Linked DNA regions of Canis lupus familiaris. The protein of the gene in region 3 binds, or shares a complex with, the protein of the main gene of each other region. Links are inferred from orthologs where the notes say so. Each region holds a gene or a part of one and is shown on either strand. Other genes may lie near its edges.

The links. The genes of interacting proteins can lie anywhere in the genome.
Region 1: the proteins of MED12 (region 3) and CDK8 are in contact, whole or in part, in a cryo-EM structure (PDB 8TQ2), measured with the Homo sapiens proteins. The link is inferred for Canis lupus familiaris from reciprocal best matches to the Homo sapiens genes MED12 and CDK8. Residues at the interface, in NP_005111.2 of Homo sapiens: Pro26, Gln27, Gln31, Glu33, Asp34, Leu36, Asn40, Val41, Lys42, Gln43, Gly44, Phe45, Asn47; in NP_001251.1 of Homo sapiens: His143, Ala144, Trp146, Phe180, Asn181, Ser182, Pro183, Pro186, Ala208, Arg209, His210, Thr212, Lys213, Met273, Pro274, Pro320.
Region 2: MED12 (region 3) and MED23 share a complex: the UniProt entries of both Homo sapiens proteins name them as parts of the mediator complex. The link is inferred for Canis lupus familiaris from reciprocal best matches to the Homo sapiens genes MED12 and MED23.
Region 4: MED12 (region 3) and MED18 share a complex: the UniProt entries of both Homo sapiens proteins name them as parts of the mediator complex. The link is inferred for Canis lupus familiaris from reciprocal best matches to the Homo sapiens genes MED12 and MED18.

What each region holds. Positions count from the first base shown.
Region 1 is NC_049246.1:13,124,117-13,127,319, forward strand, and holds part of CDK8 (cyclin-dependent kinase 8), read right to left. Parts: intron 2,353-3,203; coding exon 2,255-2,352; intron 1,555-2,254; coding exon 1,476-1,554; intron 1,356-1,475; coding exon 1,197-1,355; intron 1-1,196.
Region 2 is NC_049233.1:379,042-382,615, forward strand, and holds part of MED23 (mediator of RNA polymerase II transcription subunit 23), read left to right. Parts: coding exon 1-4; intron 5-2,249; coding exon 2,250-2,417; 3' UTR 2,418-3,574. UniProt on the Homo sapiens protein: Required for transcriptional activation subsequent to the assembly of the pre-initiation complex. Component of the Mediator complex, a coactivator involved in the regulated transcription of nearly all RNA polymerase II-dependent genes.
Region 3 is NC_049260.1:55,703,206-55,706,195, reverse strand, and holds the end of MED12 (mediator of RNA polymerase II transcription subunit 12), read right to left. Parts: coding exon 2,748-2,990; coding exon of another isoform or gene 2,613-2,747; exon of another isoform or gene 2,591-2,612; intron 2,441-2,590; coding exon 2,327-2,440; intron 2,137-2,326; coding exon 2,055-2,136; intron 1,840-2,054; coding exon 1,796-1,839; 3' UTR 528-1,795; downstream 1-527. UniProt on the Homo sapiens protein: Component of the Mediator complex, a coactivator involved in the regulated transcription of nearly all RNA polymerase II-dependent genes.
Region 4 is NC_049223.1:71,505,597-71,508,481, forward strand, and holds the end of MED18 (mediator of RNA polymerase II transcription subunit 18), read right to left. Parts: intron 1,458-2,885; coding exon 904-1,457; 3' UTR 553-903; downstream 1-552. UniProt on the Homo sapiens protein: Component of the Mediator complex, a coactivator involved in the regulated transcription of nearly all RNA polymerase II-dependent genes.

The DNA.
Region 1 (3,203 bases), on a different chromosome or scaffold from region 3:
GGTGGTATATGATTTTCCAAGTTGTCTTTCTGCAAAGAAACTGACAATACCACTTGATGGGATCCACAGGCAGGCAACAGAGCAGTCTTGGTTGTCAGATCTTAGACTGTATCCTGGGTCTACCCCCAGCTCAACAGGTAAATATGTGAAAGTTCTTCTCTGAGCATCTCTGATATGACAATAACCCTTACTCACAGAGTTCCCATAATGATCAAAGGAAATAATGTAAGTTTCATGCTTAGTAAAAAAGCTGGCATAGTAAACACCCAACAAACTCTTATTATTAGTTATCACCAGCACCACCACCACCACTTAGTAAATGCTTACTGCATACTATGAACACTACTAATAATTTTGATGATAATGATAATAAAAATGATAAAAAGTGGTAACATCTGTTAAGCACTATGGCATGCTAGCCACTGTGCCTTAGCGTACGTCCTCTCATTTAATCCTTGCTACCACCTCACACTTGCCATCATCACTTCTACAAATGAGAAAACTGAGAACATCTGAATTACTTTACTCAAGGTTACCCAAAGTCAGTGGCTAGGCTGGGATCTGAAAGTCTGTGTTTTTTTTTAAAGATGCTATTCATTTACTTGAGAGAGAGCAAGCAAGAGAGAACATGAGCAGAGGGGAGAGGGAGAGGGAGAAGCAGGATCCTTGTTGAGCACAGAACCTGATACGGGCTCAATCCCAGGACCCTGGAATCATGACCTGAGCCAAAGGCAGAAGCTTAACAGACCAAGCCACCCAGATGCCCCTGAAAGCCTTAGATGTAGCTTTCTTAATCATTCTTAATCATTCTTGATATACCTGTTGTTTCAAAACAATGCACAATACTGATTGAGCTCCTACTATAAGTCAGGTGCTAGGACTTATCATGTCTATTCCTATAACAACTACAAGCAAGGCTTGGCTAGTCTCATTTTACAGGTGAAAAGGCCAGGAAATTTTATTTGTCCAAGGTCACACAGTTCATAAATGGCATAATTTATAAGTCTGATCATTCCAGGTCTGTTTAGTTCAAAAGTCGGCCCCCTGTCCGGTACCACAGTCAGTACTCTGCTGTGCCAATAACAACTCACATCACTATATTTTCCCCGGGGACATGAAGGTCAGCATTTTCTTAGGTCACAAACCCATCTACAAATACTGATATGGCCAGTCAATACACAATGAACTGGAAATACCTGATAGTCTGAGGTCATGATGAGTCCACCTGAGGTAGTGGTAGGAGGAACAACTCTCACTTTTTTCAATGGGGGTCCCTGTGTATGACTGCTGTCTTGATTCCCTGGGTGACCGGTTCCATTAGTATGGTTATTGCCCTGCTGCTGCTGCTGGTTCTTCTCAATTGGTTAAACAGAAAAATAAAGTTCAACTCAGAAGGAGAACCAAATACAAACAAGAAAATGTTACACGGTAGATGGAATAAAACAAGCAGCAGCCAAATGTACTTTAATACTTACTTTGTCTCCTTTGTCATCGGGTTCTTCTTCTGTTAAAAATTCTCGTTTTGGGTAAGGGATTTGACAACCGGCAAAAACGCTGCTCACAACAAAAAAAGAAAATTTCTAGTATGCTAATCAGTATCTCAGATGCTTCATTTTAATCTTTTAAGATGGACTTTGTGTCCTTATTTGTAAAATAAGCACCCTTCATGCAACTGTGCCAAAATGAATCTTTTCTTCTAACTAGGGACATTGTAGCAGACCATGGGAAGGATTTTCATTGTGTGAAAATAATCAATAATCATCGAATATGACTCAACTTTCTTTTATCCCAGACTCACTCTTTTATTGTTACAATCCAAATATAGATTCCAGTGGAAATGTCACTATTTGAACACAATTTTTTTTTTTACTCTCCCTTCTACACATAAGAGATGACATGGGGAACACAAATTTATTTGGGAATGGGATTTTGTAATTAAAACACAAAACTGTAACTGTAAGCAGTGGGCCATCTCAGTGAGTCTGAGTGAGCTACAGCATGCATAATTAACCTGTCACTGAATAATTGGGGCACGGCTGAAAATAAAGCTGGTAATGTTTCATAAAGTAAGACATGAACAGGAATGCCTTTTCACTGTAAAAGCCCTAAATGACACCTCAGTCATCAGAGCTCATGTCACTGGGATTTCCCTAGGTCCCCATGTAATGCGAGTGGCAACTTGGAGTTGACAACTCAAACAAGCCCACTCCAGAAAATTCTATCATGCTGGTGAGTTAATAAACTGATCACTTACTCTGATGTAGGAAGTGGATCTTCTAAGAAATAGGGATCCTGCATAGCCTGTTCTGAGGTAATTCGCTTTATTGGGTCCATAGTAAGTAACTTCTGAAGCTGAAATCATAAATCATAAAAACATTGTGTTATTTCTTATAGTTATATCCTTGGCCATATGTGGGATGTACATGTTTTTTGATGAAACACTACAATTTGAGCGGTATTTATTCCCCCAAATTAACAAGAGAAAAACTGGATTATTACATTTAACATAGTAATTCACATTTAGTAATTCTAATAATCATGATCTTACTTGGTTCTAAGAAGTAAACAAAACCTTTACCTTATTCTAAACCAATGATCTACATTATGCAAATTGTTTTGTCCAATTTAGAACAAGACTAAACTCTTATATTTTCTATTCTTTTTCTATAAAGGGAAAAAAACTATTATAACACAAATAATAGAGTAGTCACATGTGACTATTTAGATTTAAAACCAAATTAAACTTAAAAAAATCAATTTCTCAATCATATCAGGTACATTTCTAGAGCTCAAGAGCCACATGTGGCTAGGAGTTATCCTATTGCACAGCACAGATCATCAGAGAAAGCTCTCCTGGCCAGTGTTATCCCTGTCTAAATAAATATGGTGCTTGATACAGAACTTGTGAAGTACAGAGGGGTTATGAATGGAGACTTGAAGACCTTTATTATCTGAGTGACTTTGGACAAGTTGCTTAATCTCTTTGCAACCTCATTTGTCAAATGGAGATTAAAAATAGTGCCAGCTACCATAGGTTTGTTTTCAGAATTAAATGAGTTAATATATGGAAAGCAATTCTAAAGGTACCTGACACAAAGAAAGCACTATGTATTATTATTATTTTGCTACCTATAAAAATGTCACACTAATGTGAAAATTCAGTATTTTTTTGGTTAAAACAGTTTATTTAAGACTTTATGAAC
Region 2 (3,574 bases), on a different chromosome or scaffold from region 3:
ACAAGTAAGTTAACTTTATCTTTTAATGATGTTTACTTTAGAAAACTTGAACATATGTTGATATACTTTTGTTTGAGTATTTTTGTTATGTTTTTTCTTTTAAGGGGAAAAGGTTAATATTATCAGACCTTTTTAAGGCTATGAGCACATTATTCTACATATGTAATTCCAGTAATAGTGAATACATGTTATAATTTCTCATACTTTTCCCCTTGATATTTGCAACAGGACATCTGGAAAAGACCTAGGTAGTTGATAAATAGTACTCTCATTAGGAAGAAACAATACAGAATGGCTACTTTTTAAAGACCAGAGAGGTGCTGTGTAATGAGTGAAGGAGATTCTACTTTTCGCCACAGTGACTAGGGTATGCACTATGAGGACATTGGACAGATTGCAGCATGACTTGAAGACTGAAGCCAGGAAGATCAAGGGAATAATTCATAAAGGGTATTTGAAGGAACTGGAGGTACTTAGATTGAATTTTCAAAGTCCTAGGGAATTGTTCGTGTTCTCATTATTTGGAAGGTTGCCATTCAGAATAGGCATTAGATTTGTTCTGTGTCACTTCAAAAGGCGTATAAACTCCAGTAAAGTTAAAGGGAGGCACATTCTGCTCAGCATGTAAAGAGCCAGTTCCTAGTAAAGTGATCTGAAAATGGAAAGGATGTCCTTGAATCATAACTGAGTTTCCTATCTATAGGAAACAGAAGCTTGGCTCTTTCAGAGGGAAGAGGTAGGTCAGGTAGGTGAAATGACCTCCCCTCCATAGCTTAACGTTAATTTTTTCTCTGGTAGGAAAGGAAGGTAAACTGATATTTAAACCTATGAATCCTAGTCTACTGGATTCTTGACTTGGAGCTAGGGACATGGGGTGGGGAGGATATTGACTCCCTTATTGCCTCAGCAAGATTGTCACAGTTGAGTGGGAACCAATACAGAAATGTTTTATTTAGCATATCTTTTATATCTGGACCTGAGAAACTTTGACACAGGGAATACAGAAAAGAAAAATTATTGGGCAATCTCTTCTGGTAAGGTCAAAGAACATTTGAATAAAGCTAAGAAAACCATGGAACTGCTTGATGTTTTTTATTTCTTTAAAATATTTTAAGTAAAAGTAGATCTAATATTATTTTGTTTGAATTCCAAGTATAAATCAAAACCAAAACATTAATTTATAGATAAATGTTACAGATATAAGTTATTCATATAACTTCAAAGTTTAATCATGCTTCTGTGATGATGGCATTTGAAAAGGGTGGTGAACTGGGGGCCTGGGTGGTATAGTTGGTTAAGTGTCTGACTCTTGGTTTCAGCTTAGGTTGTGATCTTGCAGTCATGAGATGGAGACCTGTGTCAGGCTCCGTGCTCAACTCGGAGTCTGCTTGAGATTCTTCCTCTCCCTCTGCCCCTCCCACTTATACTTGCTCGCTCTCTCTCACAAGTAAATAAATAAATAAATATCTTTTTTTTTTTTTAGAGAGATTTATTTATTTATTCATGAGAGACGCAGAGAGAGGCAAAGACATAGGCAGAGGGAGAAACAGGCTCCATGCAGGGAGCCCGATGTGGGACTCGATCCTCAGATCTCAGGATCACGACCTGAGCCAAAAGGCAGATGCTCAATTGCTGAGCCATGCAGGCATCCCTAAATAGATAAATCTTAAAAATATATATTTGAAAAAGAAAAGGATGGTGAGCTGGTTGGATGCATAAAATTTCTAGTGTAGGGGATCCCTGGGTGGCACAGCGGTTTGACTCCTGCCTTTGGCCCAGGGCACGATCCTGGAGACTCAGGATCGAGTCCCACCCACATCGGGCTCCTGGTGCATGGAACCTGCTTCTCCCTCTGCCTGTGTCTCTGCCTCTCTCTCTCTCTGTATGACTATCATAAATAAAATTTAAAAAAAATTTTTTTTTAATTTCTAGTGTAAGCTATATTAACTTTTCACAGTGGGATGACTGGCTGGCTAGGTAAGTGAGTATGTTTTTGTAAGTTGATACATATATAGACTATATGTACATACTCATATGCACATACATAATGTGTTTGAGGGAGAACACAATTTTTTTCCTCATGTAAGAGAGAAATGATTTTATTTGCTTTTGTTAAAACATAAAACACATAAAGAAACTTCTCATCCACTCCCTAGTTTATTGCCTCCATATGTGTATAAAGCACTTTTTTAAGGGTGGGAGGTTGAAATTCTCTGGTTAAAATACTTTTTAATGTGTTTATTTCTTAGGTAGAGAAGATTATTTGTAATTTAAAACCAGCTTTAAAACTTCGTCTTCGATTCATCACACACATTAGCAAGATGGAACCACCTGCAGTGCCTCCACAAGCCATAAATAGTGGGTCTCCAGCTCCTCAGTCTAATCAGGTGCCAGTGTCATTACCAGTAACTCAGTGAAGTCCTCTCATGTACGGTGTTGACAATGGAAATACATTTGTCTTTGAAAATGGACTCTAATCTATTAAATCTGAACATAATCAGGCTACATAGTGGTGTAGTAGAAGCAGTGATGTTCAGATTGTCTTATTTTGATTCAAACGATGAATCTACTGATACTTTATGACTCCCACCTCTCTATCTATATTTTTGTCTCTAAGAGATCAAGTAAGCTACATGTTGGCCATATCTATAACTGTTAGTGCTACCTAGTAATACGGAGGGTATCTGTGGTCAAATGAGTTTCATTAGATACTTCCAGTCTTTCTTATTCTAGCCACTGGTTTTATTTTTAATTTTTATTGTTAATGACTTCAGTGTTCAAATATATTGGAAAAGAGTTCTCAAATGATTTTATACATAAGTCTCTTTTGGTGTATGTTTGGGATAAGAGATTTTTTTTTTGTCAAGTGAAGGCCTCTAGATTTCATTGCATCTCAGGACCAAACACAGTTGCATATTCTTTTAAAAATGGCTTAAAATTTTTACCATAGGCTTCCAAATAAATGGGTTAATGGTTCTATCAACGTAGATTGGCAAGTTAGTTGCCTTTGCTGTGGACTTGAACTTATTGTATGAAATGAGTTGGAAGCCATGTAAGAAAATAACATAGAGGGACACCTGGGTGGCTCAGTGGTTGAGCATCTGCCTTTGGTTCAGGGCGTGACCGTGGGGTCCCAGGATCGAGTCCCACATCAAGCTCTCTGCGTGGAGCCTGCTTCTCCCTCTGCCTGTGTCTCTGCCTCTCTCTCTCTTTCTGTCTCTCATGAATAAATAAATAAATAAAATCTTTAAAAAATAAATAACATAGAAATGCATACACTTAATAAAATCATGCTTAAATGGTGATTCTCCAATCTCTGTTATTTAAAACAAATTAATTGCTTTCCAAGTTTGACACTTTGACCTGGCCTATGATGCGATTCTTTAAATTTTTATAAAAAATCTTAAAATTTTTAAGTATTTGTATTTTTAAATATAGCATAGTTTTTGGTTCTTTAGGGTTTATCAGATTTTGAAAGACAAACTGTTAATTTGGGCAGAGAGAGAATGGCATTAAGATTGTAAAAGACTTGAAAAATAATCAGTAAAATCTGTTGGATAAATAAACGGTTTGA
Region 3 (2,990 bases):
CTGAGGCACTGCTGTCTGCAAGAGCCCGCAGTCATACTCTACAGAAGACAAGCCTCCACCTTGCTCAGCATCCCTTGCTTCTCCCCTCCTCAGCACCCGCACAAGGCAAGCAGCAACCAGTGGAGGGGTAGGGGTACTTTGCTCTCGTCCTGTCACTCTCCCAAAAGTCAACGGTTGTTCCTTTCTGCTGCTTCTGTTGGGGCATGTCAGACAGCACGCCAGTTGTCCCACCATTTCAGGCTCTCCCCTCCAGATCCAGCTTTATGTCTCATGTTTCTGTATATGGTGCACCTGTCCCATTCATTTAGCCCCCACCACCACCACTGTAAGTCCCCCTGAGTGTCCCTTATCTCAGCTGAGCCCCTAACCCTGTAGCTCATCAGAATGTTTTTGTCTGGATAGAACAGATCAGAAGCAAGCTTTGGTCACATCTGCCTTGACCCTGTCCGGGGAGATCTGTTCCTTGTGAACACAACTCTGAAACTTGGTAAGTCCCATATGAGCAAGGGCGTTCTGGACCTCAAAGGGGGATTTTATTTATTTTTATTTTTTATTTTCTGGTGTTTGGGTATTGATGGCTGATCCTCGGTTTTACCAGCACATGTGACACTTGCCAGTGACCCAGTGTGACTATGGCTTGGATGTTACCCTGAAGTTGTCAAATCATCCGGTACCACCCACCAACAAGGCTGAGGTTGGTCCTCTTCAAGCCCCAGCTGGACATACCAGAAGACTCCTTTGTAGTACACCAGTTGACTCTCCTGAATAGCCTTTATGTACTGCCTCAAACCTGAAGGCAAAGGGGCTGCAAATGACCCCGCCACAGTTCCAAATGTGACTCTGGAGCAACAGTTTTGAGTTTTCTCTACTGTAAAATGGGAGGGATCAACAGTCATCCTGGGTAACTGCCAAGGTGGGTCAGGTGAAAACAGTTTCCAGCAACAGAGCAAAGAGAGAAAAGGGTCCTTCCTTTTCCTGGGTCTCTCTTCCTCTCAGAACCATACCTTCCTTCCACCACCAATTCAATGGTGACACATGCCAATGGAGGGCAATTTTTCATCCCAGTTCATCCCAGAAATGTGACTCTTGGGAGAAGTTCTCTAGGATGCTGCTTGGTATATGACAGGGAGCGCAGAGGTTGGCCAAAAGGGTAGGCAGTGCCAGTCACACCCTCCACCCTGGAAGCTTGTTCAAAACCCAGCAGCACAGGGAGTGGGGGGCAGAAAAATCAGGTTCCACTGATTTTTTCCCCTCTGGCCTATCAGCCCCTCCCCCACCCTAGTGGTCTATCCCTCATGGAGAGAAGCTACAAAGAACCCCCAACATCTAGCTGAGAAGGTAAGCTGCCCTTCTTAAGAAACTAAGGGCCCCAACGTATATAATATGTTGTCAGGTTGAAGAAGGGAGAAGAGAGTAGCAATCCAATTGGAATCTAGAAATTGGTGGGATGGAAGGTAAACAGGAGAGCTGATTGGAACAGAACAGAACAAAGGCTCTGACTGGTTGGTCCAGCCCCCAGCACTCTCCTCAGAGCCTGCCCTTCCCCACCATGCAGAACTCACACACTCCCTTTGCAAAGAAGCTCTGTGTATTGGGTGCAACAGCTCTGGGGTCTCTATATAAATAATATACAAAACCCAACAGCTCAATGCCTCACATTAACAAAAATACTAAAAACTTATTAAAAATGGAGCCTGAGGGAAGAGCCCCAACCACTACTGGTGCTAGCCCAAGAAGGGGACTGGGAATTAATAGGAAGGGGTGGGGCTACATCCAGGCAGTTCTTCCAGATGGCTCAGTAGCGTCCAAATATGTTGGTACTGGGCTGTGGCTGGGTATCTGTGGAAAACCAGAGGTCATCAGGGCTGGGAGACCAGGCAAGGATATAGGTATGTAGGAGAAAGGCTATTTGAGTACCAAAGTAAGGGACAGGATGCCATGCTTCACACCCATCACCCCACCCCAACCTGGGCCTGAAGCGGTCACCTGCCCTCCCCGCCCCCCCACCACCATGTAGTCCCTGGGGCTCTCCCTAGAGAGGAAAGCAGGCTTACTAGAAAGCTGTTGTTGGAGCTGCCGGACCAAAGCTGCTGTCTGTTGCTGTTGCTGTGTCTGCTGAAGCCCCTGGCGCTGGAACTGAGGTGGAAACCGGAAGTGGAAGACTGATCTCGAACTTTCCGCTTCCTTTTTCATCCTCATCTCCTGACTCCCTTTTTGGAGTGCCCCACCTTGCCTCCCACCTCTACTCACCCCCCCACTGCCCCCAAAATGCTGTGCCCAACCTGGGCAACTGTCCCTGAGCCAGGGGCTATGGCCCAGCAGCTACCTGGGGCTGGGACTGGGGCTGGGGCTGGGGAGGAGCTGCCTGCTGCTGCTGCTGGTGTGCCTGCTGTTGTTGTTGCTGCTGCTGCTGCTGCTGCTGTTGCTGCTGCTGCTGCTGCTACAAACAAGGGCAGTGAGCCTCAGACATGGTGGTGGCTCTGGGGAGGGGAACTGGTCCACTGTCCCCCTTAATAGCGCAAGACTCCCAGGGAGATCCCACTGACCACCCCAGAAGCCAGTGGCGGGGGTGGGGGGGGACACAGGGGGGAGGGTAGGAACTTCTCAGGCCCCTACTGCGTGCTTGGGGTGCTCCAGGGAGTGGGTGCCGGCTTCACTCGGTTCACCATCATGTCAAACCCTGGAAGAGCACCTGCCTCTCCCCCTCCGGGGGTGCCCAGGTCCCACTTGAAGGCCTGGGGCCTCACCCGCAAAATCTGCTGCTGTTGCTGCTGTCGGATGTGATACTGCTGTTGTTGCTGCTGCTGCTGCTGCTGCTGCTGCTGCTGCTGTTGCTGCTGTTGCTGCTGCTGCTGCTGCTGTTGCTGCTGTTGCTGCTGCTGCTGCTGCTCAGGCAGGATGGACGCCGATCGCACGCCGGCCTGGACGCCCTGCGCACCCAGAGGAGTCATGGTACCTATCATGGGTGCCTGCTGCAGGGTCTGGTGTGA
Region 4 (2,885 bases), on a different chromosome or scaffold from region 3:
ATAGATTAAACAAAAAAAGAGGGATGCCTGGGTGGCTCAGTGGTTGGGCGTCTGCCTTCAGCCCAGGGCATGATCCTGGAGACCTGGAATGGAGTCCGGCATTGGGCTCCCTGCATGGAGCCTGGTCCTCCCTCTGCCTCTGCCTGTGTCTCTGCCTCTCTCTCTGTGTGTCTCTCATGAATAAATAAATATTAAAAAATAAATAAAGAAAAGTTTTTCAGTGAACGTGCTACTTTGGTTAAAGGTAAAAACTATTACCTTTATCAGGATTCAAACTAAAAACTGTCATTTTTTGGGATGCCTGGATGGCTCAGTGGTTGAGCATCTGCCTTTGGCCCAGGGCAATCTGGAGTCCCAGGATTGAGTCCCACATCGGGCTCCCTGCATGGAGCATGCTTCTCCCTCTGCCTATGGTGCCTCTCCCTCTGTGTCTCTCATGAATAAATAAATAAAATCTTAAAAAAAAAAAAAAACTGTCATTTTTTTTGGTTCCAATTGGTAGTGAATCCACCCCGAATTAGCAGGGTAATAAAGAATTGGAATCACAGATGCTTCTCTTCATAGCCTTTATTACCCCACAATACAAGCTCACAGTCTCTATAAACCTTACACACAAATAGCAAAACAATTAAAAGATTTTTCTTTCTGAAAGCTAATTTATTCTAGTTTCCTCTCTTTATACAAAGGGACTAGATAGACTTCTCATGTTATCCTGAGCCTTTAATTTGGAAAGGCTGTCACAAAAGTGAACTTGTCACGTGAGGAAAACAGTGTAAAGACCCAACTAAGTTCTTACTGTCCTCCTAAGAATGCCTGGCTGGTAGTAATGAAATGGGGCATTTGTAACATCTTCTCTTTTATAACAGGTGAGGATAGGCCCCAGTGGCGGTCAGACTGTCTTAGTCACATGAGCCTTTTGGGGTCTATTTTCTCTAGGTGAACCAGAGGTTTCAGCTGCTCGGCAAAGTTCCTCATGTCATCAGAGACCATGTCCTGCCCAGCTGGTGCAACAACACTCAGTTCCACAAGATAGGAAAGTGACAAGGCCTCAGTGCTGTCTGTGTTTCCTGGTACCAGGATGCGGAAGATCTTGTATACCATAATCTTCATGATACCCTTACGGAACAAGTGACCCTTGGCAACAAACTCATGGTCCATGCGGAAGCCCATTTCCATCAAGAAGTCAGTGAGGTTCTCAGATGTTGCAATGTCCACACAATTTCGCACCAGGGCATGGCGGTTCTTGTCTCCCATTTCCGGTTGTCCCAGGTAGCGTAGATGCCAGGGTGCCCCGCCCCTATCCATAGAACGCCGAGCCCTTAGAACAAATGGACTAGCCTGCTGGCCCTTAAGGAGGAACACCATTTCATGGTCAAGGAAAGTCTCAGGTTCCATGTTGTCACACAAACCACGAAGGCGATGGATGAGGCTTTCCAAACTGTGATCTAAAACACTTCCTGAAGAACAAAAGAGCATTGTTGAGTCCCATCTTTCATTTGGAGTACTGGGATTAGCAAAAGACTGAAAAAATTTAAATGAAAAACCGAAACAGTTTATTGCAGTGTTTTGTAGAGCACAGGTCCAATATATGAGATTTCAGAGGGGTTATGCTGCCAAGGTATTAGATAACACTATGAGAAACTTAATCCCCTTTCAGTTTTTTGCATTGTCTTATTTGGTACTAGAAAGCCTTTAGGCCTTCCCTAAATGGTAATTGCCAGTGGGCTCTGGGCTCAGAGGCTTTAACAACGAGAATAATAGTACTCTTGTCATTTATTTAAAAAATTATCTTTTATTTCTAGCAACACAAGTTTTCGATCTATAGATTATAACATTTCCTTTTTTTGTAAAATATTTAAGTAAAAGAAAATGAAGTGCTCCATAAAAATAGACTGATCTTTGTTCTCATCTTATTCATCCTCCTAGCAGCATCTGACATGGTTGTTAGATTATACCCACCTTGAATCTATTCTTCCCTTGGCCTCTGGGACACAACTCTTAGTTCTTTACCTAACTCACTGACCATTCCTTTTAAGTCTACTTTGCTGGATCTTTCTCACCTTCCCTAAATACTAAAGGATCCTAGGACTCAATCCTGGTCCTCTTTTTAACAATCTCTTCCTCTCAAGGTGACCTAATTTGGTGCTATGGTTTTAAATGCCACTTATGCCCTGAGGCCTCCCATGTTTAACTCATGAACTATAGACTCATATAGCCAACTGTCTACTCAGTTTCTCCACGTGGATACCTAACAGATATCTTCATCTTCATATGTTGAGTATCCAATTGTTGGCTTTTCCTTCACAATCTTATTCCTCTTGCAGTCTTTCCCATCATAGTGAATGGAAGCTCTCTGCTTCTAGTTCCCCAGGCTCCAAACCACAGAATCATCCTGATTCCTTTCTTTCCCCCATATCCTACACCCAATCCATATTTTAAAAATACATGCATAATCCAACCACTTCTCAGCCCCTCATTCATTTCCATCTAGTCCAAATCTCCTTTATTTCTTGCCTGCTTCTACCCTTCTCCCCATAACAGCCAAGTGGTCTTTTTAGAATATAAAGCAGATAATGATATTCTGCTCAGAATCCTCCAATGCCTTCCCTTGTCATTCAGAATAAATCCCAATGTCTTTATCATCATCTACAAGGCCCTATACATTGTGGTCCCTGCTACCAGTCCAACATCATTTCTTTCCACTATCTCCCTAGATCCTCTCACCAGCCACAGTGATCTTCCTGTTATTTCCTAAAATTGCCAAGTATTTGATAAAGTATTTCTATTCAGAACCTCTTCCCTTAGCCCCTACACTTAGAAAAATTTTCTCACTGGTATCTGCATGCCAAACCTGAATACTTTCTTCAAGTCTTCAGCTCGTGTCA